4 linked regions of the Diceros bicornis minor genome follow. The protein of the gene in region 1 purifies or fractionates together with the protein of each later gene. This does not show direct contact. Links are inferred from orthologs where the notes say so. Each region holds a gene or a part of one and is shown on either strand. Other genes may lie near its edges.

Evidence for each region. The genes of interacting proteins can lie anywhere in the genome.
Region 2: the proteins of KBTBD7 (region 1) and TJP1 purify together in Homo sapiens (co-immunoprecipitation; 3 studies listed by BioGRID and IntAct, counting the BioPlex papers as one, with this or other methods). This does not show direct contact. The link is inferred for Diceros bicornis minor from reciprocal best matches to the Homo sapiens genes KBTBD7 and TJP1.
Region 3: the proteins of KBTBD7 (region 1) and NSUN4 purify together in Homo sapiens (co-immunoprecipitation; 5 studies listed by BioGRID and IntAct, counting the BioPlex papers as one, with this or other methods). This does not show direct contact. The link is inferred for Diceros bicornis minor from reciprocal best matches to the Homo sapiens genes KBTBD7 and NSUN4.
Region 4: the proteins of KBTBD7 (region 1) and VANGL1 purify together in Homo sapiens (co-immunoprecipitation; 4 studies listed by BioGRID and IntAct, with this or other methods). This does not show direct contact. The link is inferred for Diceros bicornis minor from reciprocal best matches to the Homo sapiens genes KBTBD7 and VANGL1.

What each region holds. Positions count from the first base shown.
Region 1 is NC_080748.1:35,094,971-35,102,136, forward strand, and holds the start of KBTBD7 (kelch repeat and BTB domain-containing protein 7), read left to right. Parts: upstream 1-4,160; 5' UTR 4,161-4,755; coding exon 4,756-6,795; 3' UTR 6,796-7,166. UniProt on the Homo sapiens protein: As part of the CUL3(KBTBD6/7) E3 ubiquitin ligase complex functions as a substrate adapter for the RAC1 guanine exchange factor (GEF) TIAM1, mediating its 'Lys-48' ubiquitination and proteasomal degradation.
Region 2 is NC_080744.1:79,819,329-79,826,410, reverse strand, and holds the start of TJP1 (tight junction protein ZO-1), read left to right. Parts: upstream 1-4,057; 5' UTR 4,058-4,074; coding exon 4,075-4,250; intron 4,251-7,082. UniProt on the Homo sapiens protein: TJP1, TJP2, and TJP3 are closely related scaffolding proteins that link tight junction (TJ) transmembrane proteins such as claudins, junctional adhesion molecules, and occludin to the actin cytoskeleton.
Region 3 is NC_080752.1:9,208,570-9,215,635, reverse strand, and holds the start of NSUN4 (5-methylcytosine rRNA methyltransferase NSUN4), read right to left. Parts: upstream 3,026-7,066; 5' UTR 2,984-3,025; coding exon 2,891-2,983; intron 1-2,890. UniProt on the Homo sapiens protein: Mitochondrial RNA cytosine C(5)-methyltransferase that methylates cytosine to 5-methylcytosine (m5C) in various RNAs, such as rRNAs, mRNAs and some long non-coding RNAs (lncRNAs).
Region 4 is NC_080743.1:48,187,310-48,194,413, forward strand, and holds the start of VANGL1 (vang-like protein 1), read left to right. Parts: upstream 1-4,079; 5' UTR 4,080-4,179; intron 4,180-4,641; exon of another isoform or gene 4,642-5,126; intron 5,127-7,104.

The sequences.
Region 1 (7,166 bases):
AGGGGAAGATGAGAGGAGCTGCCCCAGGAAAGAAGATATCTGATCTGCAAGAGAAAAATGTTGGAGTCACCAGGAAATGGAAATGGTGGCAGTACTCGTGAGATGCCTCAGCCTCCTCAGCAGGAAAGGGCCCAAGGAGATCCTGCTGTGGAAGCATTCATGAAAAGAGCTGAAGTTCAAAATTTTTGAAGGACTAAAATCATGGCTTGCTGATGACTGAGGCTTATGTATCAGGCAAAAACAGCTCTTTTATCTTCCTGCCAAGAAGAATGTGGATTCCATTGTAGAGGATTATGCAAATTACCAGAAATCTTGAGGAAACACAGATAGTTAGGTAATAATAATGCTGTTACTGAAGTTGTGTCAGGAATAAAAGAATAATAGAATGTAATGTTGGGCACTCAGCTACTCTACAAATTTGAAAGATCCCAGTACACTGAAATCCTTGAAGATTGCCCTGAGGCACCCTGTCCCAGGTGTATGGAGCTCTGCATCTAGTGAGAATTGGAGCAATGTTGGCCCATATACCTCTAGATGAGAAGAGTCTTATTTTATTTTTGACTGAACAATCTTCACAATTTTCCTGGCAAAGAATTCTGCAACTTTATTTAGTGCCAGTAATTATGAAGTGGCTCATCCTAAGAGGAGGTATAATTTAAAGTAAATTAAATGCACAGATCTTAAGAGACAGTTCATTGAATTTGGCAATTGCGTGCACCCGTGTAACCACCAGCACAATCAAGAAGAGAACATTTTCTTCACCCCCAAAATTTCCTTGTGTTCCTTTCCAGTCAATTCAGCAATCTGCCAACCCCCTGTCCCCAACAGTGGCAGCCTCTATAATGATTTTTATTCATCATACCTTATTTTCACTGTTCTGAACTTCACGTAAATGGTCATACAGTATGTGCTCTTGTATATCTGGCTTCTTTTGTTTAACATAAAATTTTTGAAGTTCATTTACATTATTGCATGTGCAAAGGTTCTTTTTTATTTCTGAGTAGTATGACAGTGTATGAATATACCACAATTAATTTTTTTCATTCTCCTATTGATACACGTTTGGATTATTTCCAGTTTTGGGATATTGTGAATAAAGCTACCATGAACATTCTTGTACAAGTCTTTTTGTGGACAGATGTTTTAATTTCCCTTGGGCAAATGCCTAGGAGTGAAATTATTGGGCATTTAACATTCAGAGAAACTACCAAACAGTTTTTTTAAGTGGATATACCAATTTATATTCCTATTGTTAATATATGAGGGTTCCAATGGCTCCCTATTGTCACCAACATTTAGTATCGTTGATCTTTTTAAGTTTAGCCATTCCAGTGCATGTGCAGAGTTTTTTCATTGTGAATACAATTTGCATTCATCTGATGATGAATGACATTGAGCAGCTTTTCATATATTTATTGGCTATTGGGTATATGTATTTCAGATATTTTTTACCAGTCTATAGCTTGCCTTTTATTTTGTTTTTACTGCTTTTTGATGGACAAAAGCTTGTAATCTTGTTGAAGTTCATTTCATCAATTTTTTTTGTTTTATGATTTTATTTATTTATTTTTTTCCCCCAAAGCCCCAGTAGATAGTTGTATGTCATAGCTGCACATCCTTCTAGTTGCTGTGTGTGGGATGCAGCCTCAGCATGGCCGGAGAAGCGGTGTGTAGGTGCATGCCCAGGATCTGAACCCGGGCCGCCAGCAGCAGAGCGTGCGCACTTAACCGCTAAGCCACGGGGCCGGCCCCTCATCAATTTTTTTAAGGTTAGTGTTCTTTGTGTCCTAAAAAATCTTTGCCTGCCTCAAAGTCACAGAGATAATCTTCTATGATTTCTTTTAGAAGCTTTATAGTTTCACTTTTCTGTTTAATATTAAGATCTATTTTGAATTAATTTTTGTTTATGGTATAAGTTAGGGATCAAGGTTAATTTTTTTCACATTGTGATCCAGTTGTTCAACACTGTTTGTTGAAAAGACTTTCCTTTCTCCATTGAATTGCATTGATACCAATGCTGTGTTTCTAAAATTTAAAATTCAGTTCCTTTTTCTTTTTCGTGAGGAAGATTAGCCCTGAGCTAACATATGTTGCCAATCCTCCTCTTTTTTGTGTGTGTGAGGAGATCAGCCCTGTGCTAACATCTGCCAATCCTCTTTTTTTTTTTTTTTTGCTAAGGAAGACTAGCCCTGGGCTAACATCCGTGCCCATCTTCCTCCACTTTATATGGGACGCTGCCACAGCATGGCTTGCCAAGCAGTGCGTTGGTACGTGCCCAGGATCTGAACCGGCGGACCCTGGGCCGCCACAGCGGAGCACGCAGACTTAACCACTTGCACCACCGGGCCAGCCCCACCAATCCTCCTCTTTTTGCAGAGGAAGATTGACCCTGGGCTAACATCCGTGCCCATCTTCCTCTACTTTATATGTGGGACACCTGCCACAGTGTGGCTTGATAAGCGGTGTGCATAAGTCCAAGCCCAGGATCTGAACCCACAAACCCTGGGCCGCCACAGCGGAGCGCACGCACTTAACCGCTGCACCACCAGGCTGGCCCAAAAAGTCAGTTCCTCAATTGCACTAGCCACATTTCAAGAACTAAAGAGCTACAGGTGACTTCTGGCTACCGTATCAGTCAGTGCAGATATAAAATATTTGCAACATCGCAGGAAGTTCTGTGACAGCACTGCTCTAGACCTTAGGGCACAGTGTCTACTAAATATTTTGAATTCTGTGAAGGGTTAGCTAAACCAAATAACAAAGGGCAGATATAAGAAAGTTAAAAATCAATCACTGAACTTATATGAGGTACTTAGAGTAGTCAAATTCAAAGAAACACAAAGTAGAATGGGGGTTACCAGGAGTTTTGGGGTGGGGAAAGGAGAGTTATTGTGAATGGGTACAAAGTTTCAGTTTTGCAAGATGAAAAGAGTTCTGGAGATGGATGGTGGTGATGGTTGCAAAAAAATGTGAATGTATTTAACGCCCAAGAAATGTACACTTTAAAATCGTTAAAATGGTAAATATTATGTTACATATATTGTACTAATACAAAAAAATTTTTTTAACTGCTTTTTCCCCAGCTGGTGTTTAGTGCAGGTGAGAAAGCAATTGGTATTACTAGTGACTTAATTCTCTCTGGTTTATCTGAGGGATACCCAACAGAGGTACAGGGGAGATATTGGAGCCCAGAGCCCCACTTAGTTTAATGTCTCTGTCTTAGGGTATTTCCAGTAGACCCTCTTCAGCTAACAGGAAAAGAGAGAAAAACAATTTGACTGAGTTATTCTCCTGTTATGAGTTATCCACCTATTCGTGTAACACTAAAGATTTCGTTCATTGGGTTATGGGAACCACTGCAAACTAGTAGCAGGAGCAGTTCGGTTTTTAAATAAAAGTTCTCTGTTTTTTTAGTTAATCTCTAAGCACTTGATTTTGACGATTTAACTAACAGACAATGTTGATCAATATATATAAAAAATACTTTTATAAAGCATAGACTGTACTATATTAATTCAGGGAACATCAGGGCATATATGAATACCAAACTCTGAGGATCTTGTGCTTTTGTACAAGATCCTATTTGTTTAAATATCTTAATTTAAAACTCGCGTTAAAACTCCTTAATAAAAACATTTCAGAATCTTCAACTGATTTGTGGAAAGGAAGTGAAAGAAGCAGTATTAGACGACTAGAAAACATTCATATTAAGAGCTTATGAAAATAATCTTGCTCCTCAGGAGATGTGTTGATTTGGTGAGATGCCAATCCATCTATATTTAGAAGCCTGATTTGCATATTTGAGGACATCTATAAATGTTATTCACTAGGACCTCATCTCTGTCAAAGACAGCCTAATGAATCTATGGATACAGTTTAGTATTGAAAATATTGCAGTACCCTTCAGAACCTTTCAAAAGAAGCAACATTAAAAGCTGGAAGTTTTCTTTGCAGAAATTGCTCATGGTTTCAAATTAGGAGGTGCCTCATTTTTCAAAAACTCTAAAAGAAAAGCTAACAGTGATTGAATATATTCTAGGCACAGTGTAAGCATTTAATTAATTATTGTTCTAATCAACAAATATTTGTTGAAGCATCCTATGTCCTACTCAATTTATCTCATTCCATCCATCACACAATCCTATGAATACTATTATCCCCACTTTACAAAGAGGGGAAAGCTCTCAGAGAGAAGTCACACAATTAACAAATACTAAAACGAGGCTTCTACTCTGGACTTCAAAGACAATGCTCTAAACCATCCAATCCAGGAGAATTAACGCTTTTTGATTCTGTTAGCTAAAGCAGTCCACCCCAAGAAGCCTCGCGATATTACTCAAACTACTACTCCCGACATGCAAAGCGGCTTCTGTTGGTCAGCCTATGCCGGTGAGTCTGGAGGGCCCCAGCATGCCTCGAGGCGCGAAAGGCAACCTGGGAGCCGTAGTTCTCTTGGACGCGTACCGGTATTGCCAGCGCGGCAGTGGCGGCTCTCTCTGTTCCGGCTAGCGGATCTTGTGAGGGCGAGCTGAGGCGGAGAAAGGGCGCGGAACTGGAAAAGGGTGAGTCAGGCACTGTCTACGCGATAAAGAGAGGCAGCAGCGTGGCGTAGGGCTGAGTTGAGGAAGTGCGGCCCCTGCGACAGTCTGTTCAGGGAGACCGCGATCTTAGCGCCGGCGAGAGGAGGGTGAGGAGGAGCCAGAGCCCGGTCCTTGCACCCGTCCTCGCCCTCGGCACCGCGCCGCCATCTCCACCATGCAGTCCCGGGAAGAAGCTCCGCGTTCTCGCCGCCTCGCCAGTCCCCGCGGGGGGAGGCGGCCCAAGAGGATTTCCAAGCCCTCGGTTTCGGCTTTTTTCACGGGCCCGGAGGAGCTGAAGGACACGGCCCATTCTGCAGCCCTGCTGGCACAGCTCAAGTCTTTCTACGACGCGCGGCTGCTATGCGATGTGACCATCGAGGTGGTGACACCTGGCAGCGGGCCTGGCACAGGCCGCCTATTTTCCTGCAACCGTAATGTGCTGGCTGCCGCGTGTCCCTACTTCAAGAGCATGTTCACCGGCGGCATGTACGAGAGCCAGCAGGCGAGCGTGACTATGCACGATGTGGATGCCGAGTCCTTCGAGGTCTTAGTTGACTACTGCTACACGGGTCGCGTGTCTCTAAGCGAGGCCAACGTGCAGCGCCTCTACGCGGCCTCCGACATGCTACAGCTGGAATATGTGCGAGAAGCCTGTGCCTCCTTCCTAGCCCGCCGCCTAGACCTGGCCAACTGCACCGCTATCCTCAAGTTTGCGGACGCCTTCGACCATCACAAACTGCGATCGCAGGCCCAGTCCTTTATAGCTCACAACTTCAAGCAGCTCAGCCGGATGAGTTCAGTTCGGGAGGAGACTCTGGCAGATCTGACCTTGGCCCAGCTGGTGGCTGTCCTGCGCTTGGATAGTCTAGACATCGAAAGTGAGCGGACAGTGTGTCATGTGGCCATGCAGTGGTTGGAGGCGGCTCCCAAGGAGCGTGGGCCTAGCGCAGCAGAAGTCTTCAAGTGTGTCCGCTGGACACAATTCACTGATGAAGATCAGGATTACCTGGAAGGGCTGTTGACCAAGCCCATTGTGAAGAAGCACTGTCCGGACCTTATTGAAGGGGCCCTGCAGATGCGATGCAGTGACATGTTGTACAAGTCTGTGGTGCCTAAGTCAGAGGACAGCAGCAGCTCTGTTGTATCCGCAGCAGAAAATCCACCCCAGAGGCTGGGCATGTGTGCCAAGGAGATGGTGATCTTCTTTGGACATCCCAGAGATCCCTTTCTCTGCTATGACCCGTACTCGGGGGACATTTACACAATGCCATCACCATTGACCAGCTTGGCTCACACTAAGACTGTCACCTCCTCAGCAGTCTGTGTCTCTCCAGACCATGACATCTATCTAGCTGCCCAGCCCAGGAAGGACCTCTGGGTATATAAACCAGCCCAGAATAGTTGGCAGCAACTTGCAGACCGCTTACTCTGCCGTGAGGGCATGGATGTGGCATACCTCAATGGCTACATTTACATTTTGGGTGGGCGAGACCCTGTTACCGGAGTTAAATTGAAGGAAGTGGAATGCTACAGTGTTCAGAGGAACCAGTGGGCGCTGGTGGCTCCTGTACCCCATTCCTTCTATTCCTTTGAACTAATAGTGGTTCAGAACTATCTTTATGCTGTGAACAGTAAACGCATGCTCTGCTATGATCCTAGCCACAATATGTGGCTGAACTGTGCTTCTCTTAAACGAAGTGACTTTCAGGAAGCCTGTGTCTTCAATGATGAGATCTATTGTATCTGTGACATCCCAGTCATGAAGGTCTATAACCCAGCCAGGGGAGAATGGAGGCGGATTAGTAATATTCCCTTGGACTCAGAGACCCATAACTACCAGATTGTCAATCATGGCCAAAAGTTGCTCCTCATCACTTCTACCACCCCACAGTGGAAAAAAAACCGGGTGACTGTGTATGAATATGATACTAGGGAAGACCAGTGGATTAATATAGGTACTATGTTAGGTCTATTGCAATTTGACTCTGGCTTTATTTGCCTCTGTGCTCGGGTTTATCCTTCCTGCCTTGAACCTGGTCAGAGTTTCATCACTGAGGAAGATGATGCACGGAGTGAATCTAGTACTGAATGGGACTTAGACGGATTCAGTGAGCTGGACTCTGAGTCAGGAAGTTCAAGTTCTTTTTCTGATGATGAAGTCTGGGTACAGGTAGCACCTCAGCGAAATGCACAGGATCAGCAGGGTTCTTTGTAAATATTTTGAAACACCGAGATGTTTCTACTGCTATGGAATGTATCTTAAAAAGATATCCTCTCCTTTTTCTGGAAAAAAAAAAAAGTGATTAGGACCACAGATTTGGTTTAGAAAGGGTAATGTTTGAATTACTAATGTAATGTTACAAAATTTAAGCAGTCCACATAAGAATTTACTGTGCTAAAAGTTGAGATTGAAATATGCAAAAAGTGAGCTATATCGTTGATTAGAAAGCTTGGTGGTTTTTTCATTGTTCAGTTATTCATTGCACCAGTGGATTGTTTTGGTTAGTTACAGTAGTTTATATTTTGATTATCTAATTTAGTCTTCTGTTAACTTTTTAATTCTATTAGTGCCACAAAGAATTTAAC
Region 2 (7,082 bases), on another chromosome or scaffold:
TTTTGTTTATGTGAGAATGCCTTAATTTCTCCTTCATTTTTGAAGGATAGTGTTGTTGGATATAGAATTCTTGGTTAATAGTCTTTCTTTCAGCCCTTTAAATGTCTTCCCTCTGCCTTCTGATCTCCACGATTGCTGATGATAAGTCACAGGTTAATCTTATTGAGGATTCCTTGTATGTGATGAGTTTCTTTTCTCTGGCTCCTTTCAGAATTCTCTCATTGTCTTCGTCTCTCAACAGTTTGATTACTGTGTGTCTAGGTGTGGACTACCTTCAGTGTATCCTACTTGGAGTTTTTTGAGCTCCTTAAATGTGAAGATTAATATTTTTCATAAAATTTGAGAATTTTTCAGTCATTATGTCTTCAAATATTCTGTGTCCCTTTCTCTCTCTTCTTTCCTTCTGGGACTTTATCATATGTTGGTATGCTTAATGGTTTCTCATAGGTCTCTGAGGCTCTGTTCATTTTTCTTCACTGTTTGCTTTCTGTTCCTCAGACTGGATAATCTCAATTGACTTATTTTCAAGTTCACTGACTCTTACTTCTGCCATTTCAAATATGTTGTTGAGCCCTTCTAGTAAATTTTTTATTTCAGTCATTGTACTTTTCAACTCCAGAGTTTCATTATTTTTTAAAATTTCTGTCTGTTTATTTATATTATCTATTTGGTGAGACATTGTTCTCATACTTTCCTTTAGTTCTTCAGACATGGTTTTCTTTGGTGAAGATATTCATAATAGCCAATTTAAAGTCTTTGTCCAATAAATCCAATGCCTGGGCTTCCTCAAGGGCAGTTTCTATTAACTGCTTTTTTTCCCCTATATATTGGCCATATTTTTCTGTTGCTTTGCATGTCCTGTAATTTTTTGTTGGAATCTGGACATTTCGAATAATATAACGTGGCAACCCTAGAAATCATATCCTTGCCCCACTCTCCAAGGTTTGTTGGTGGTGGTGTTTCTTGTTGTGGTTGTTTTGTTCATTTAGTGACTTTGCTGGACTAATTCGGTAAAGTCTGTATTTTTGTCATGTGTGGCCACTGAAGTCTCTGCTTAGGTAGTTTAGTGGTCAGCTAATTATTGGACAGAGATTTCCTTAAATGTTTGGAACCATTAAGTCTCCCAGCCTTTGCTGAGAGGCTGTGTGTGTTGGGGGATGCCTTCAACATTCTGATAGGTAGTTTACAACTCTTCCTTAACCTTCACTTTCTGCTTGCACTGAACCTCAAGGTCACCCAGAAGCGAGAGATTAGGGCCTTCTCAGGTGTTTCCTGAGCATGTACACAGTCCTACATGTGCACATGGCATTCTGGAGTCCCAAGAATGTCGAAGTTTTTCAAGGCATCATACGGAGCCCCATTCTCCACTTTTCCTTTTAATTTTTCTGGTTAGCCGCTTGTTAGCCCCAATGGGTTTCACTGCCTCAAGCAGCTTGTGATGCTAAACAATTGTTACTGATTGTTTCTGACAAATGCCCTAGGGATAGGGCTGTTTGCACAGAGTGAGATCCTGAGCCAGCCAGGTCAAATAAAGACAAGCACTGTAAATGGAGCTTTTCAGGGTGCTGCCAACAGGTCAAATAATGACAATTATCTGAGGATAGGGCTTTTGAGGAGCTCTAAGCCCATTAGCGGCTGCTAGTCAACTGGTTTTCAATACTACTTTAGTTACGAGGCTGTTGGTTTACAAGGCTACGGCAGAGTTGGAGAGAAGGGGATGGGAACTGGGCAAGTCAAAATACTATAAAGCTCACCGTTCTAAGATTCAGTAATTTTTTTGTACAAACATTCTTTGTATTGTTGCAAGCCTTTGGTTAATTTCTGGAGTTCTGGAAAGGTTGGTTTTGACAAATTATAGCCACTGCTCACCTTTTATGGAGAAACAGATTATCTGCCATTCTGCAAGTGCTTCTACCAGTTTATTTTTATCTCTCATTATCCTGAATTGATCTCTTCAGCCTCCAGTTGTCAAAATCCTTGAGTACAGTGCAGTATTTTCATCAAATATCTTACCAGTAATATGACAAGGTGGTGCAAAAGGCCAAGCGTACATTAGAAACGGTACATACATAAGTACAGGCCCTGATATTTTTTAAAAGTACTGCTCCAAGGTCTTCTCCCATGTGTGGATATATATTTGAAGTGTCAAAGATCTTCTAATTCCTCATTTTATGTGAGAGCTAAAACTTATGGATAAATGAAAGTGAAATAGATTTAGACCTGCTTTCCTACCAAAGTGACTGTGAAATTATGTTGGGAGCCCAAACTAGGAGACTGTTTTGTTCTAATCTTACGTGCTAATTAATTTGAAAATGCAGTGTTTAAATAGAGGTACAAGAGGGATGCACTGTGGAGGGAGGGTGTTAATGTTTGATAATTCTGCCTGGTGGATGCACAGGCACTTGTTATCTGTACTCTTCATATATACATCCTATACACACACATACACACACACACACAAACAAACAGGCAGTCCTTGCTCTGCAAGTTCAGATATGCCTGATGTTAGCTACTATGGCTCAGTTAAATAATACCAGTTGCTCAACAGTATGGTTCAAATTTCAGCTATCATGGCATATTAACTGTAAGAAAATGCATATAGCGCAAACGCACGTAGTATAAACTTCGCTGCTAGCTCTTTAGTCCACAAAGCACAACACAATAACATGTGCATCATGATCAGTGACCAATCACAGTAGTTCTTTCAAAGTCTGTTAGTCATTGGTCACTGCTGCACCTGTTATTCAGTTTATGCAGCCAACTGTGCAGTTGTGTTGCCTCCTCTTCTCCCAGTGATAAACCTGTACAACATTGCATAAAAATGGGTAATTGAAAGAGGGAATTAGCCAGCAAGATGAAAGTGCAGCAAAGAAAAAACAATAAAGATGGAAATGAAGTAAAATTCGAATGGAATGTAAATGGAGTTACAGAAAAAATAGGCAACTGTGGGAATGTTGACTCTGCTGCCTTTCCAGAGACTCTAGACACGCAGCCAGAAGAACTTAGTAAATGTGAACTTGAATGAGGAAAGTGGTTGTGACAAAAAGGATGAGGATGTCCCAGAGGACGTCACATTAAAGGAACTCTCTGATATATTTCATGACATTGAAAGTACAGAGGATAAAATGCTGAAAGTGACCCAAATATGATGCTCTGCCAAGGCATAGAAAAGACGCTCTCTCAGTATATAACAATTCTACTAGCAGAAGACAAGAGCTGTGCAAGTTACTCTTAATAAGTTTTTCTTACAGAGAAATAAAACACTTTAATTCTCAATCTTTGTAATGTTCTAAGTCACACTATTAAGTGATTAGTTTTACTATTTTTTTTTTTTATTTCTCTATACATTATCTCCATCAGTGAAGAGAGTTTGGAATGTTTTGACAAAATTTTTAAAGGTCATGGAACAATCTCCATTTTTCCCAATGATTACGAAGATAGTTTCGCGTGGTTCAGGTCATTTCCACAATCCTGAACTGCCTGGCATGCAAGCGAGGACTGCATATATGTATATATATACACACATACACATATATACGCATTGTATATGTGTACGTATATACATATACATGCATTTTATATATACACCAAGTCTGCAAACACTTCAGGCTAGAACTGATGGTTACAAGCTATTAAGTGGTAATTATAAATTAAAAAATTAATTTTTTCCTCTCTGGAAGCTTGTCGTTAGGATCCCTTTGGAGCAGAAACGGTCGGAGATGAGTTCCCGTCAGCCGCCGAGGAAACTGAGGCACGCGGGGGCGCCGGGCCTGGGCGGCGCCGGTGGGCGGGGGCGGCGCCCCGGCCTCACCCCGCCGCTCCCGGAGCCGGCACACCGCCAACCCGGCCGCCTGTGAGGCCCGCGCCGCCCGCGGCTTGCGGGGTCGGAGGGGGGCGGTGCGGGAGGCGGCGGCGGGAGCGGCGGGCCACGCACGGCGGCGGCGGGAGCGGCCGGGCACGCACGGCGACGGCGGCGGCGGGAGCGGGGGTCCTGGCCACGCACGGCCGCGGTGGCGGCGGCTTCGGGAGCGGGAGCGGCGGGAGCTGTGGCGGCGGATGGCCCAGAGCTGATCTATGCGGCGCTTGGAGGGGCTGTGTCTGCGGCGCCGGCGGCGGCGGCGGCGGGGCCCTGCCCGCGAGCGGAGCGGGGACAAGATGAAGTACCAGAAATACCTGACGGTGCTGCAGATGGCCATCGGCGTCACCCCCTCCAACCGCGGCAGCCTCCTGCCGCTCAAGAGGAAGCTGTGGTGAGGGCGCGGCGGGCGCGGGGCCGCAGCCCGGACCGGGCGCGGGTTGGGGCCGGGGCCGGGGCCGGGGCGGGCCGGCGGCGGCCGGGCCCGACGGGCGCGGAGAGCGCCGGGCGCAGCAGCCATTTCGGAGCCCCCTGGGCCGAGCGCCTCGGCGTCCCGCGCTCGCACGGTCGTTTTCCGCTGCGACCCTCGGCGGTGCCCGGCGACACGCAGAGCGGCGCGCCGCGGGAGGGAGGGGCCGGAGCCGCCGGCTGACGGGCGCCCGGGCACCCACCGTCTCCCGCCGGTGTCTGTCCCTTCAGCTCCATTGCAGCGAGTTCGGGCTCGGGATTGCAAGCCAGGCTTTCTTGCAGGCAGCGAAAAATTTAGCATCACAGTATGCGTTTTCTGTTATTTCTCAAAACCCGTCTGCTCTTGGGTACCTAGTAAAGGACGAGCCGCTCCCACAGTAAGGGGAATAAGTTGCGAGATTATAATAAGGGGAATAAATTGCGAGATTATAATTGCATTATCAAGGACTATATTTTATCTGCATGTGTCTTAGTTCCTCCGACCTGGAAACTGTTATTGGGGTAACAGGAAAAGAACGCCTTTAGAGAAGAATGTCTGGACGTTATCCAGGTCAGGTTTACATAGTTGATTATCTCTCAGATTGTATTGCCTTTTATTAGTATTTAAATATGTCATATGGAATCCCAGTGGCTGCCTAGGCACTCTCTGGACTTGCGACTTAGGCGTAAGGTGCTATGACAAAAGAAATAGTCAAGTAAAGGGATGGTGACTAAAGAAAAAAGATGCCAGTGATCTTGGTATTCAGTGGTCATTTTAATTTTAAAATTTGTGGTCAATGTAGTTCATAAAGGTTTTATACAATTCAATTGAACATAGTCTAATTTAATTTTAAGGTTATAGAGAAAAGGAAGTAAGGCTGTTTTTAGGCATTTGGGGAAAGTAATTTCTGCTATATCAGACAAATGAGAAAATGATCCAAGGAATATAAAGATTGAGCACCCAAAAAAAAAGAGGAGTTAAAAAAAAAGAATCCCAAGAGTAGAGAATTTTCGAGATAAGACCAAAAAGTATAGGCAGCAAAGTTCAGATTTAGCTGTGCCACTTACTGTGTGACCTGAAGCAAGTTACTGGAGTATCTGTTTCTTCCTCTGTAAAATGAGAATGTTATCTACCTCATGGGGTCATATGCAGATCAACTGAGATAATGAATATGAAGTGCCTGCCACTATGTCTGGCTCAATAATAGATACTTAGTAAATGTTAGTGTCTTCCTCCTTACCCCCCACCTCAATTTGTTTAAAAAAAGAGAAATTTATTCTGCAAAAGGTAGTTTAACTTGATGAACAGCAACTGACAACACATCGAAGACTAGACTGGTAAAAATTGGCAGTAATTGAATTAATAAATGTCCATGGAAGAAGATTTTGCAAATATATGAAGATTATGTCGCTATTATGAAGCAAGAAACAGTAACATTTGAAGATGACTTTTCAGATTGATGGTGTACAGGAAAAATAAAAAGAGATCAGCACCAACAGTCTTATCCCCACCCTCCCACCACCATGTTTTTCTCCTGGGCACTTAGCAATATCTAACCCACTACATACTTTACTTCATTTTCATATATGTCGCCTCTCACCGCACTAGCATTTGCATGGGGACAGGGCTTTTGTCTGTTTAGTTCATTACTAAATCCCCTGCAACTAGTATCTGGTGCAAAATAGGTTCTAGAAAGACATATGTTGAATAAATGAATTCTTAATAATGCATAACTGGGAAAGAAAATTTTCTCGATGTTAAATTTAAAAACTAAGATGTCGGAATAATGTCTGAGGAGCCATTAGGCATGAATATTAGCAGCACTTGGTCACAAAGCCAGGAAACTAGATTTATTCTTTTTCATAATTGGAGTGCTACTTCTGAAAATACATTCCTCAATACAAAGTTTGTGAAGAGAGAACTTGATAAGATAAAATCCAGGTAACTTTTTTACTCTGGGGAGTCACATTTGAGGCAGGCAGTGAACTGGGGACAGGATTAACAACTGTCTTACTAGGAGACGGCCTGGGAAAGGGCAGGGGGATTTTGTTGAACTTTTCCACAATCTTAAACAAGCATTTCAGAATTTCCACTCAGCGTTAAGTGAATTTGCAAACGTTTATCTAGTTTCTACAGTGGGAAAGTGAGGAGCATACGCTACAAAAACTGTGGAGTGGGTGGTACTTTTAAACACAGATGTCACAGATGTATAATCCTTTTTTTTTTTCTTTAAGTTAGAGAATATTGTGCTGCTTGATTAATCTATCTGTTATATCCTCTGGAATTGATTTTGTAGATAACATTTCATTTCGCCAGTGTCGTAGCAACTGCACGTGGAGAATTTGACACGGAAGGCACCGTTACATGGCTAGAAGATATGAGGGTGTGGGTTCTGACTCCAGAATGGTGGGTGGGAACCAATAGCAGATATATGTCAGCAGTGTATGTCAGACCTTGAAATGCACCAGCTTATGCCCATTTACAAGATGTGAGGGTATACTATGATAATTGGTTGTGGCATATATGAAGATTTATATGAAGATGTTTATGAAAATGTGTATACTCTCTGTGTTTCTCTCTCTTTAAATTATTGCAGTCTGTGTGGAAAGACAGCATGCCTGCAAAGCTTATGCCAGTGTAAGTAAAGGGTAGGGTTGAATGATCCAGTGCTTTATCTCCACACTTCTATCTAGTTTGGCCATTTGTGCTCATCAGCTTTCCTTTGCGCAACATCTTTCTGTCTTTGTGATTGGCTCTGTAAATCCTTTAAGGAGTATT
Region 3 (7,066 bases), on another chromosome or scaffold:
TGTCACTACTCTGGTATTCACTAATAATAATAGTTGAACTACAGCTGGAACTCTTGGATGAAGGCAAAGGACAGCTGTAGGGAATCTGGGAGGACTCTTTGCAGGAGCCTCGAGAAGCCACAGAGTAGACATGCAGGCCACAGGGCATAGCATCAGGTCGGCCTCGGGCTCGGGGGGCAATAGGTAAACTTTGGGGGTCAAAGGGTGTTCTCAAAGGGATACAAGAATAGATGTGGGTAGAACAAGGAGGTGCCACAGGCTGGCAATGGGGTTGGGGTGGGCCCCTGGGAGTGCTATAGGTGCCACAGGGGGGCACCATGGGTTGCTTATGACACTGAGGGGGGCGTGTGGATTGATTGAGGGAACCAGAGAGTGGGCAGGGATCGGGGGTGGAGGGAACCACAGAATATACATGGGTACTGCAGGGGGATCTTATGAGGGGTCCATGGGGGCTTCTCTGAGCATAACTATTGGGTGAGACAGAATCATAAGGAAGGCGGAGGGGAAGGGAAGTGGGGATAACAGTTTTGAGGACTCTAGGGACCACAGTAGGTAAGGTAGTCCCTTGGGGAAGTTCTTTAGGGCAAGAATTTGAGCAAGTTGTAACGGATGTCACTGTACAAAAAGCACCTGAGAGACCAGAAGGGCCGGAGGGAGGTGGAGGAGAGGTGCTGGCCTTAGGGGGCCTGGGCTGGTCAGGAGGAGTTTGCCGGGGAGGGGTGACCAGGGAGCGACTTCTGTGGGGAGCACGTGGCTGTCTTAACTCTGAGGATTTGGGGGACTTCACTTGGGGGCAAGCTGGGGTAGGCAGAGGAGGGTCGTTATAGCTTCTGCGGGGGGGTGACTGAGGTGGAGATATAAACTGGTTGCTCAGGGGTGAAGGAAAGAAGGCAGAATAAGGACAAGGCGAGGACAGGGGAAGAGGTGGTTCCTGGGGACAAGGGGGACCAGAAATCATAGCGACTGGGGTTACGAAGAGGTAAGAGCTCCCACCAGTCTCCCAGGAGAACAAGGACTCAAAGCAAGGCTTCCTGGAAGCCTGGGACTGGGGTAAGCAAGGAGAACCAGTACTCCCAGGGGGTAGGCGGATGGCACAACAAGGGCTCCCAGGGGCAGGTATGCAGGTCTCTGGGGGAAGATGGGAATAGTGATAAGGGCCCTCTGGAGGTGAGCTGGGACAGCCAGATGTGCCTGCCTGAGAAGAAAGTGGGGAGCCACAGTAATTTTTCCCACGGGGTGGGTCAAGCTGTGGTTTAGGTTCACAAGAGTCTGGAGGCTTATGGTGGCCATGGTAAAACCTGCCGGTGGGTGGGGAAGATGCTTGGGAAAGAGGAGGGTCATTATAACTTCTCCCTGAGGACCAGGGAGAGAGTGGAGGGGAGATCATGGGCCCAGTTTGCAAAACCCTGTGAGAAAGGGGTGGGGAAACTATAGGTCTAGTTTCCATGGGCCGGTGAGCAAGGGGAGGTGAAATCATGAGGCCAGTTCCCAAGGGCCTATGAGTAAGAGGAGGTGAAATCATGGGGCAAGTTCCCTGGGATCCATGAGTGATGGAAGAGGAAATCACGGGACCAGTTCTAGGGGGCTCATGAGTGAAAACAGGTGAAATTATGGGACCAGTTTCCAAGGTGACATGAGTGACCGGACGGGAGGTCCCGGGGCTGGTTCCTGGGTGCTGATGAGTGACAGGAGGTGAAATCATGGGGCCAGTTTCCAACGGCACATGAGTGACAGGAGGAGAAGTCACCGGGGTGGTTCCCAGGGGCCGATGAGTAAGGGGAGGGGAGGTCACCGGGCTGGTTACCAGGGCTGAAGGGTATCCACCACAGTAACAGAGGTAAGTGTGCTGGTCGATGTAAGGGCTTCGGGGACAGGGACACGGTGTTCTCGGGGAGCTGATCCAGCCGCAATAAGGGCTCCGGGGACGGAGAGGGGGTGACCCCAGAAGGCTGAACCGGTCAAAACAAGGGCTCGGGGGGGACGAACCCGAGAGGATAGTCTCAGGGCAGTAAGGCCTTCCGAGGAGTGGAGAACAAGGTTCAAAAGAACATGTCCCCAGACGCAGGGGCGGCGGTGGGGGTGGGGAGGGGGGCGGTGGGGGCGGGGAGGGAATCGGTCGGGGTAGAGAGGGGGGCGGGCCGGTTACGGAAGAAATTCCAGGGCTACAGGTGAGGCCAGAGAAAGGGTGTCTGGAGCAGCGGGGAGAGCCCAGGGGGTGAGGGGAGTCGCTGCACCTTTTGCCTGAGTTTGGGGAAAGGCCGGGACTACCGGCAGGGTGGTCACTGTAACCTTTCCTGGGCGCCAGAGGCAGCTCGAGGGTGAGGGAGTTGACTCCTTTCCTGGAGGGCGAAGGAGACCCAGGGAGGACCGGGAAGTCGCTGTGACATTTTCCGAGGGGTGAGGGCGGCCGGGCTCGAAGTTCTCGGAGGAAGGGAGGAGAGGAGGTCATAGGGGGCGGAGGAGAAGAGGTCAGGGTAGGAAAGAAGGGGAGGGAGGGGGAGGGGGAGGGGGAGGGAGGGAAGGGGAAGAGGTAGTGGGAGCCAAGCGGAACGGAACCGCGAGCAGGGGAACAAGAGGCGGTGACATAACTGAAAGAATGACGGCGGAGGCGATGACGTAACAGAGGGGCGGAGTCAGGAGGCTGCACACTTATCAAGAGGGAGAGCCGAAGACTCGTGACGAAATAAAAGGGCGGACAGAGGCGACGACGTAACAGATGTGAGGGAGGAGCCTAGTGACGCTCCCTGAGGGGCGGGACAAGAGGTCGAAGGCGTTCCAACCGGAGAGAGGAGCGACCCTAACTGAGCCGGGCGAGCAGTGGAAGGGCTGGGGAGGTTTCCCGAGAGGCGGTGGCAAGGGGCCGCTGTCACTGTTCCCTCCTGGGCCTTACCCATTTCTTCTTATGTCGATGTCTCCGCGGGACCGTCGCGAAGTCGGCCCGCTTCAGCACGTCCCGAACACCTCTCACTACCAGCGCAGCCATGTCTGCGTGCGTTGCCGGGTAATTCCGACCGGAACCGCAACCGGAGGCTCGCGGGTTCCGGAGAGGTGGTGCGCGCCGCTCTGGACGTAAAGGGGAGGGAATTACCGCTGACTCTCTCCCGGGGCTCCGCCCATCTTTACATTCCGGGTGCAAACCTCGCCCCGCCAGCGATCTTTGAGAGCGCTGGGAAAGAGCAACCATTCGCACAGAATGGTGGCTCCGCCTGGATGTTTGGAGCATTGAGAGAGACTCCGTAAAGGTCCCTGACCCAGTTGGGGGGGTCAGAGAGGACTGGGAACTGGCACTTGAATACTGAAAGAGTTAACTAGGCAAAAAGGGGTGGTAAGGGCCTTCTAGGCAGAAGTTGCACGAAGAAAAGATCCTAAGAGGAAAAAAACAGGCTAGACTTGTAGGCAGAGGCGGATTTATAGTGAAGCTAATGAAGCTTAAGTTTCAGGACCTGTCATTGGCACTGCCCCCTTCAAGGGCCTGTACCTAATTTTGTATTGTTTTTCTTAAAGAAGGCCTCCCGAATTTGAGTAAGCTTTAGGCCCCACAAAACTTGAATCCACCAAGGAGCCGGTGGAGAGGAGGAACATGATCAGATAAGTGTTTTTAAAAATGAACATCTGACAGCAGATGATCAGAGTAGTTAGGGGTAAGGCAGGCAGGGAGGTCAGATGAGAGAAGATGATGTTCTGGATTAGTGTGGTGGCAGTAAGATGGAGAGAAGAGGATGGATTCCACTTACAGTTAAGAGAGAATTACACGAGCCGGCCCCGTGGCTTAGCCAATTAAGTGTCCACGCTCTGCTACTGGCGGCCCAGGTTCGGAACCCCTGGCGCACACCCGATGCACTGCTTCTCAGGCCATGCTGAGGTGGTGTTCCACATACAGCAACTAGAAGGATGTGCAGTTATGACATACAACTATCTACTGGGGCTTTGGGGAGAAAAAGGGGGAAAAAGAAAAAGGAGGGGGATTGGCAATAGATGTTAGGTCGGGGCCAGTGGTCTTCAGCTAAAAAAAAGAGGAGAATTGGCATGGATGTTAGCTAAGGGCTGATCTTCCTCACAAAATAATAATAATAATAATTTTTAAAAAAAGCAGGAGGAGAAAAGAAAAAAAGAATTACAGGATTGATTGACTGGGCCCTACACCACCATTAACAGCTGTCCTCTTACCCCACATTTATTCTTATAAATTATTACCACCTGATATGTATTTATTTTCTTATAGTCTGCTAAATTGTAATTTTCAAAAGGTTAAAAACATAACTCTTATACAAATATATAATGAACACATGCCAAAGACTTTATTCATCATAATAAACTACTCACCCATTATCCTAGATAATGAGGGACCCAGTAAATGGTAAGACTTGTTCAATGAGAATTTGAGTTTTAGAGATTTAGATTATCAGCCAAAGGAATGCTAAAATAAATTTGCTAATAGTTGCAAAAACATTAATATTTTATTAAGTAATAAACTGTGATGTTTGGGATTATCTCTTCTACCAGATGAAAATCAATTCCATCTTTGCTGGACAAAATTCATTTGCGTTACTATGCGTAGGAGTTGTTTGCGTTGCTCTCAGACGAGAATTATTTGCATTGCCCTCAGTTTTCTACAAGTTAACCTCTACCCCTACAAAGTTGTAAGATAGCCTAATCAACATCAAGTCAATCAAATGTAAACCCCAGCACTACAATGAAAGAGCACCCAGTAATCCTCTTCTGCCCATTTATAAGTTCCGGACAATTTTTCTGGACATGTCTACCCTCACAAGAATGTAAGATTTAAAAGAGCAAGGATTTTGTTTAATTCATTGCTGAATTATCAGCACCTAGAACAGTATATGGTACATAGTTGGCTCTCAATAAATATTTATTGAATGAGTGAGTGAAAGATGAAAAAGTAGAGATGTGAGTGTAAACAATTTTTTCAAGAAGTTTGTTACAGGGACCTAGCAGTTGTAAGGTAACAAGGAGATATATGTATAGAGAAAGGCCTTTTTATAAAGCTCGTAGACATTTAAATGCAGATAAGAATTGTCAACCTTAAAAATAAAAGTCAGTTATTTTTCCAGCAAAACGAGTTTATTCAGGAATAGCTAAAAAATTGCAATTGGGAATATGCATGCTATGGGAGACCATAAGCAAATCCAATAATCAAAGGAGAGGAACGTTATTTTATAGGGAAAAAGGAAATTGGGAGGAGTTGTTTTGAAGGAAAATCCATTGGAGAAAAGCAAGAGTTCAGAGTGGTGATGGTTTCTCATTGGCTGAGTTCCTGGGGTAGTTGATTTCTCTTTGGGATGCGATGTACATTTTTTTCCTGTAATTAATGATTCTTTCCTGTTGATGACTTCTGCTGGGGTCTATGATTGACTATCTTTCCCGTAACTGACCTCAAGTGGTACTGCATGGGAGCTCCCCCTTCTGGCCTCCCAACTCCATTTTAAATGAGGTTTCCCTTTATTTAATTTTCACATTTTCCCATTTTGATCAAGATCTTCTTCCACAAGCATTGCTAATCAAGAGTCAGGTTCTCTGCACATAGTGGTTTTGTCCCTCGGTGCCAGGAAGGACCTTTCCTGGTAGTCATGTCCCACGGTGCAGGGAACGTGCACAGTGGTTGGAAACCATTTAGGCCACATTTGAGCAACAAGGAAGGCCAGGAGGGAGAACTCTCAAGCATCTCTTATTCAAAGTCTATAGTTGTCTGAGGTTGTAAGCCTCAGAAACCGTTTCAAATTGTTGAGCTAACATCAACTTATTAGGTACATCATGTTTACAGAGGTTCGACAGGCAATACGTACAGCATTTAGCAACAAGTACACAAAGCAGGATTAAGAACAATACAACAGGGGCCGGCCCCGTGGCTTAGCGGTTAAGTGCGCGCCCTCCGCTACTGGCAGCCTGGGTTCGGATCCTGGGCGCGCACCGACGCACCACTTGTCCGGCCATGCTGAGGCCACGTCCCACATACAGCAACTAGAAGGATGTGCAACTATGACATACAACTATCTACTGGGGCTTTGGGGAGACAAAGGGAAAAAAAGGAGGAGGATTGGCAATAGATGTTAGCTCAGGGCTGGTCTTCCTCAAAAAAAAAAAAAAAAAAAGAACAATACAACAAGCCCAGTTTGTAACGGGCTGAATAAAATCAAAAGACAGTGGGTTATTGGGTGAAATTTGTTGTAGCCAATGTGCTTGCTCTCTAATTCTATGTAATTGGCTCTCTATTTCCCCAGAGTTATTTATCCATGTGCAACAGGAGGTGTTTGTTACTGCACAGACACCTCCCTGCTCAGCAAGTAGGTATCTCAAACTCCCTGGCCAATGAGTTAAGCAACTATTGTTGGGTTGCAACTGCTTTGGCTGTGGAACCAGCCAACTCTTCTAGTGTTAGGGAGAGAATCCTGATCATTTGTGCAGTAGCACTTATTCTGACCCACAGAAAGAAAGCTCTCCCCACAGAGGCAAACCCAGAATCATGCACACTTCCTGGAAGTTCTTATTTGAGGTAATTATAGGAATTTAGTGGAACTGACCAATGAGAGGCTTCTGATTGGTTATGCAGGGAGAACAGGGTGGTGAATATGGCAAGGGCACACTGATCTCCTACTCTCCAGCTGTTAAGGCAATGAGATGCCCAAGCATAAAGGCTATTGTCAGAGCCTTCACATATGAAAATGTAACCAGGGGTTGTACATAAGGCTTCTGCAGAAGCAACAGTATCTATGGACTTATTCACTGGCGTAGAGTCATTACCACCATTTAACCTAGGCTTAGACATTGTGTTTTTACATATTAAGAAGTTGCCTAAATATATGGGTGTAACAAGTGTACAAATGATCTGGTTTACAATTGCTATCCTACAGAATTTATCATACAAATATTCATAAGATCTTGCCTTTCCCTCCCAAGGCTGGGTTAAATTAAAGCAAGGAATGAGGGGCCTGCCCTGTGGCTTAGCGGTTAAGTGCGCGCGCTCCGCTGCTGGCGGCCCGGGTTCGGATCCCGGGCGCGCACCGACGCACCACTTCTCCGGCCATGCTGAGGCCGCGTCCCACATACA
Region 4 (7,104 bases), on another chromosome or scaffold:
ATCCCCACCCCCACTCTCCCCCAGCACTGCACACCGCCGTCAGATAAGGCCTCCTGGACATCCTCTGTCGCACTTCTGTGCCTTTGCCCAGAAGGTTTCTTTCCTCTTTATCTGCCAAATACCTATCCTTCAAATTCTGCTCCAGGGTCACGGCCAGGTGAAGCCGTGTGCTTCTGCAGGCTGAGCTGGCCCTTCTTTCCCTGTGCCCCCACAGCGTCCCGTCCCGCCTCTGGTCTCAGTCACAGCATTCTCATATTCGATAGCAAGGCTTTGTTCAAGCAGCCGGAGCCTCCCCAGAGAGAGGGACACACCACAGTCCCCCATCCCCTATCTTGCTTTGTTTTCTCCTTAGTACCTGTCACCATCTGACACACTACACATGTTGCTCCATGTCTCCCCACTAGAATTTAAACTCAATGAGGGCAGAAGCTTTTGTCTGTTTTCATGTATCTTCAGAGCCTAGACTAGTAACTGGCACATAGCAACTGCTCAATAAATATTTGTTGAATAAATTGTTGACTCACTGATCAATGTTACTTTATCTAGCTTTGTATCCTTAGTAGTTACATTGCCTGGCTCGCAGTAGGTACTAAGTCTAAGTTTTTGAATGAATGAAAAGATGAATGAATACCATGTTGCCAGCCTGTTTAAGAAAGTTCAAACACTAGTGTTGGGTTCAAAGTTCTCCATCTTCTAATCCTAGCCACTCAGTTTTGAATCCTCTACGTTTCAGCATGAGTCCTTGTCTCGAGCCTAACTGCTCTGCTCACTGCCCTTGACTATATCCCGGACACCGCTCTCTCCACACCCCTGCCCATACTCCAAACAGAAACACCGTTTACCCCCTATTCCACTCATATTTATTAAGCACTTGAGATAAGCCAGCCACTGTTCCAGCCACTGTCCTCCACCTATGCCTATCCCACTCCTTTCTTTCCTCAACGTGAGGACAAGGTGACCCTGACCAGCCAGGCCCGTGTCACTCTCCTTGGGCACTAATAATCTACAGCCTAGCACCTCATCCCTGGTGTTATCAACATATAAACAGATCCTACACATAGATTTTACAGAAAATGGCCCTTTAAAGAATCAGCGCTAACATTTCAAACATTTTGGATGGAAATTTTTCTAATATTATTTTCATGTCTTCCTAAAGTACTGTATATAGAATATCCATCTAACCTTCATAACTCAAGGTCATCACTATGAACACTATTATTCTGTAATGAGGCAGTGTGCCAGGGGGAGTAACTGGTAACAAGAAAGAGCATGAGTTTTGTGATTAAACAATCTTCACAATGACCCCTTTGCAGTCCCTGGGGTTTCCTGACATCACCTCCTTCTCTTTTAATATGTTTCTAATCTATAGTGGGCTTAGGACTCAGATGATGAAACTTCTTAGAAATGTTTGTAAACTATGTGTAAATAGTTGCCGAGTATACGAGAGATTCTGCTATTTATAAAGTCTATCCAATTTAAAGCATGGATTTTGTACAATCTATTTTGTTGATCAGAGGCCTTTCTCACTTAACTGTTTTTCAGGTGTATTCAGAATTCTTGAGGCTGGATAAGTGACTTCTTAAAAAGTCTGCCTTTAATGCATTTAGCATTTTACATATTCTCTTTTGTTGCCAACTATCTTTATGTGCCTATGTCATAACTTTTCAACTAGATTGTTCCCTGGTGAGCTTATTAACTTCCCAAGGGCAAGTGATATTTTATAGTCATTCATTCATTTGCTAAGTATTTTTTAAAGTAACTACTAGGTGGAAAGATCTGCAATAGAAAAAAGATGAATAAGACATGGTATTTATACATTATTGAAGAGTGAGAAGCAAATAACCAATACGAGGTAAGAAGGTAAGTATAAAAATCCAGAGAGCCATGGGAATTCAAATAGGTGAAGAGAATATTTTCTGGTTGGGAGAACCGGGGAAGGCTTTGTGTAAGAGATGGCATTTGAGTTGGATCTTGGTAGACAGGAAGAATTTTAGTGGGTAGCATTCTAAGGTTTGGGAAAGCTGTGAGAATGGGCAGAAAGGGAGAAATATATTCATGAATTTGTGGAACATACAGTCATGCTGGAGTCCTAAGAGCACCCAATACATAGTATCCTACTTCCCTAGCTGAGTTTGGAACAAATGGTTACGTGAGACAGAGGAGTGGCAGATGGAGCCCACTTATCACCTTTATTACTGAGTAAGGTTAAGCTGGAGAACTGGACTTGAGGCAAGAGCTGTATAAGCCTGCTGAAACCTGGAGCAATGCTGACTCACTTTGTGACAGACAGTGGGAGCCAGGGCAGGCCTCCAGGCCATACAGACCATCACTCAGGTCCTGAGAAGTTGTCCACCTCTTACCTTTTAAACTTGAATACTTGAGATTGTTGGATCAAAACCAGCAGTAGATGGCATTTAAAGGTGAATTTATTATCTTAAAATAGAGTTTATTGTGCACTACCCCTCTTTGCCACAAAAGCACCACATGGCAAGGTAGCTTACTTAAACTATAGTGAATTAGAATCACTTTCCACGAACATGCACGGAGGATCTGTATATCACACGGCGGCTATTCAGGAGCAGCAGAGCTAGAATTGGAAATCCCTGGCCCATTGTAACTTTGAAGGGTTTACATTTTAAAGATGAAAGAGACACATTTTTATAAAGCTCTACATTCCTGTATCTGAGCACTGATTCAGGTGGATAGACAACCGGCTTTACCCTTAAGAAGATGGCTGCCTGGGTCAGCCCTAGCCCTCTGGAGACAGGGGAGAGGTTTGTGAGGGAGAGAGGCAGATGTCCTGGGCTGCCAGAGTGAGCAGTGAAGCCTGGTGGCGGGCTGGGGAGGGGTCAAGATTGACTGCATTGAACATATGTCCTCTGAAGAAGTGCAATATATGGGAGAGAGAATGGGACTGGAGGGGGTGGGGAAGAGGTGGGGCTGGGAGTGAGGGCTTTGGGGACTCAAGCTCCCTGAACTAGGCTAGTTCAGGGTGGGTGTGTTTCCCCACCCCAACTGCCCACAGTACACAGTACTTCATTATACACCATCTCGGCTCGAGAACTGGGTCATGTAAGCAGCTTCAGGTCCCAGCCAGATTCCACACTCTCCACGTGGATCCCTAACCCTATCCACACAAGATATTGAAGTAAGAAGAATGCAAATATTCATATACATAGTTGACAGCTGTTCAGTGCCTACTGGGCACAAGCTACTTTCCATAATCCTCACCACAATCCTGCAAGGTTGGCATTATCATCCTCTCCCACTTTTCAGACAGGGAAACAGACTCAGAGATGGAAGCAGACCTGGTTGAATCAGGATTGGAACCTGGGCTGCCTGCCTTCAGAGATGTGCTCTTCCAGTAGTTTCTATGAGACTGGGGTTGGGGGGCAGCGACTGCTCTGTTAGGAGAGGAGGAGGGAGAGGGTTGGCTATGGGGGCCCGGGTGTGTATGGTTATTTGCCTGGTCATTTCCTGGGCTGCATGTGAGTTTAAGTGGGAGTGTGTATATGGGTTGAGGTGGTTGTATATGGATATTTGTGGGTCAGTTCTTGGAATGTGTGTATACGAGTGTGTGTGGGGCGGTTAGCCTCCGGGCCGTGTGAATATGTTTGTTGGGGCTCCCGTGAGGGCAAACGGGCTTGGATTTTGTGCATGATTGTGAGTATGTGTGTATGGCTGTAAGTTTGAGGGGGCAAGTACGTTGGGCTGTTGGGTGGGTGTCACTCCCTGGCCATGTGTTTATGATGTGAGGGTGAGTGAGTGAGTGAATGTGAGTGAGTGTGTGTGTGTGTGTGGGTGTGGGTGTGGTCAGTCCCTGGGGTCTGTGTGTGTAGGAGTGTGCACGCACGCGCGTTTGTGTGCGCGCGTGAGCGTGCCCGGGTGTGGCGTGGCTGCGGGGTGGGGAGAGGCCGGCCGGCCCCGCCCTCCGCTGCAGGTGGGCCGGGCCCTCGGCGGGGCCGGCAGCGCTCGCTGCTCTTGGCTCGCGGCCGCGCCGGGCTCGCAGGGCTGGGCTCGGGCTGCGGGGCGGCGCCGGGACAGGAAGCGGAAAGCAGCAGTGCGGCGGTGGCGGCGGCGGCGGGGCTCTGCCTGTACCGGAGCCCAGCGCAGGCCGCAGAGCCGGGGCCGCCGTGAGCCGAGACCGCGGGCCGCGGAGCCTGCACGGCCGGCGCGGAGGTGAGTCCCGCGGGAGGCCGGACGCGACGAGCAGCGCGCAGACCTTCCGCAGGGAGACGCCCCCACCCCGGACCCTGCGAGCTCCTGAGCCCTCCTCCCGCACCCCCACCCCAGACGCGGGGTCACCGCCTCCTCCCGCCTCTGGCCCGGAGCCGCCTCCCCTCTTACTGACCGCACCCCGTGTTCTGCTCCCGGGATCCCACTCCTCTGCCATCCCCGCGAGGTGCGCCCCTCCTGCCCCTCGCTCCGCTCCCCGCCGCACACCGCTTCCTGGGTCCCGGCATTCCCCCCACGCCTCGGACTCCCCCTTCTTCCCGGCTGCACTTTGGGGTGCGCCCTCGGGGTGCGCGTTCCGGCCGGCAGGGAGTGGCCGAGCGTTCCTGGAGCACCGGGCGGCTGGAGCGGCCGTGCGAGCGGGGGCCGGCAGCCCTGCGCTCCCCAGGAGCCGGGCGCGCACCGTGGTTCCCACCCCGCCGCGCAGCTCGACCCCGTAACCGCCAGCGCCCGGGGGCCGCCCGGCCCTGGGCCAGAAGCCGGCACAGAGCTGGCCTGTGTTCACACCCCGCTGACAAAATTGAGCCGGCCCCGGAGGCCTGGGGGGGGCGAGTCCGGTTGCGCATCGGAGAGCGCAACAGGCAGGTAGGAGTTTACTTTCAAAAACGCCGGGGTGGAGCAGAGGCGACCGGCAAGTCTGCGCGGAGTGTGCCACTTGGAGAAATCTCACCGCGCCGGGGCAGCCTTCGCCACGGGCAGGACCTCATTTTCTCCTGCAGTCTTTGAACTGCCCCAAGCAGCGCGCCCGGAGAAGTGTGAAGCTTTATAAAAATTTAAACGTGTCGGTGCTGGAGGCAGGAGCGGGGCGGAGCCGCGGCCTGGCCGCCCGGAGATGAGCTAGTGAGACTTGGAGCCGAGAAATCTGTTGCTCAGTTTTCACATCTTCAAACCAGGTATAATGCCCACGCCGCGAAGGTGTTGTGAGCTCGTTTAGCTGCTCGTTAAGAGATGTTAGAGCGCATTATTATGATGATTGTGTGGCTGGCACGTGCATTTTGTTAAACCCTTTTGGCGGGGCTGTGGTTGGAAAATGCATGTGTTTTGGACACTTATTCCAAAAGCTAGTAAGCTGTAAAGAATCTGGCATTTTCACTGATATGTTTATAAATTTTATAGGGTTGCTGGAAAATATTATAACTTGTGTCACCAATCAACAATGCTAATTAGCATTCTCCATCCAGTGGGTGGGTTGATTACACAGCTCCTAGGCTATTTAAGTGAGATGGCAGAAACTGTCTGAATTCAGGGAGACGTAATTAGTCATTTTATGTAACCACTAATTAGAGTTTTTAGAGTTAAATTAAATCAATGTGATATCGTTGGGGCTTTGATTTGTGGGAGGAAACTTTTATTCTACAGTTCAAAGAAATAACACCACAAATCCATGAACATTTAGCATTCCCAAACTTTGCTGTCTCTAAGGATAATTAGGGAAAACATCTTGTGTGAAATTCTCAGAGTGTTGATAGTGTGACTTGGTTACGACTTAATTTGTAAATAAAATGGGAGAAATAAAATTTATTGTGTTATGTATTTGAGCAACAGGACAAAACCATAAAGGAAAGTTTCTTTACAAGCAGCAATCCCGTGTCATCCTGGTCTGTTGAAGAAACAGCGCTGGGTGAAGAATGGTCTTCTCCTCTCCCTCCCCTTCACAAACACACCCTTTTGTCACCCTAGACTTCAGCCGCATTTGGGGTGCATGGGTCCTTACCACATTGTATTTTAATAGCAGGTTTCCACCTTTGGGCTGTGAGCTCCTTAGGAGCTGGAACTGTTTCAGATTTGTTTCTTTTTTCCTGGACTCCCCACAGTGCTTGGGACACTGAACCTGTGAGTAGGAGTTGAAATTGCAAAATTGTTTGTGGGTTATGTGTGGTTTAGGACAATTGATGATTGTTGCCTACCCTCCTCTGTGTAAATAAACAATTCTGGTAATTGCTACATTGCTATAAATTTTCCTTAGCTAAGAGCACAGGTTCTGGAATTAAACTCTCAGAGTTCAAGCCCTGGCTCCAGCGCTCACCAGGTGTATGACCTTGGTTTCCTTAACTGTAACATGAAATTAATATTTTATCTCCCTTATAAGGCTTGTTTTGAGCATGAAGTGAGACATTGCATGCAAATCACTTAAACAGTGCCTAACACATAGTAAGCACTCAATAACTGTAAGCTGTTAGATTATTATCGCGGTCCTGTCTCTGTAAAGTGAACTAGCTGTGGTTAGGAGACTAGCTGTGTATGGGCATGTGATTTGGGCATGGTACTATGCCATTTTCCAGAAGGTGGACAAGACAGGATGAGGTGGACTCGAGGCTGGACCATGTTTCTGCTAGTGGCTTTGGTCTTGCTTGAAGCCTGAGGAATGGTGCATGTGTGCTCTGCTGCTGTCTGTCCCCATCAGTGTCCTTCTGAATCCTGCTTATTGGACAGCGGTCATTGGACCTGGCACCATGAGATTTACAGAGGAGGTAGTACTTGTGAAATCTATTTTTCTGAACCTTAAAAATCTAACGGGACAAGGGAGTCACTTGAAAACAAATATACATCATAGAACCCCAGACGTGTTAACCATTCACAGCTCTCAGACATCTATACCCAGCTGCTGGAGGTGTTTCAGAGGTAATTAATGACTGGAGCCAAGAGCAGTTATTCTGGGAAGCTGAGTTGAAATCATTGGCAAGACAGGTAAAATGAAGTTGACGTTTTCTTTCCTTGAGAATAGTGGCCCAGAATCATTCATTTATAAGAGCTCTGTTGTAGTGAAAGAATCATTGGGTTTGTCACAAATGCCACAAGCCCTCTGATCCTCACATCAGTGACCTGGATGGTGTTTTATGGTTTATAGACCACAAGTTCCGCAAAATGTTT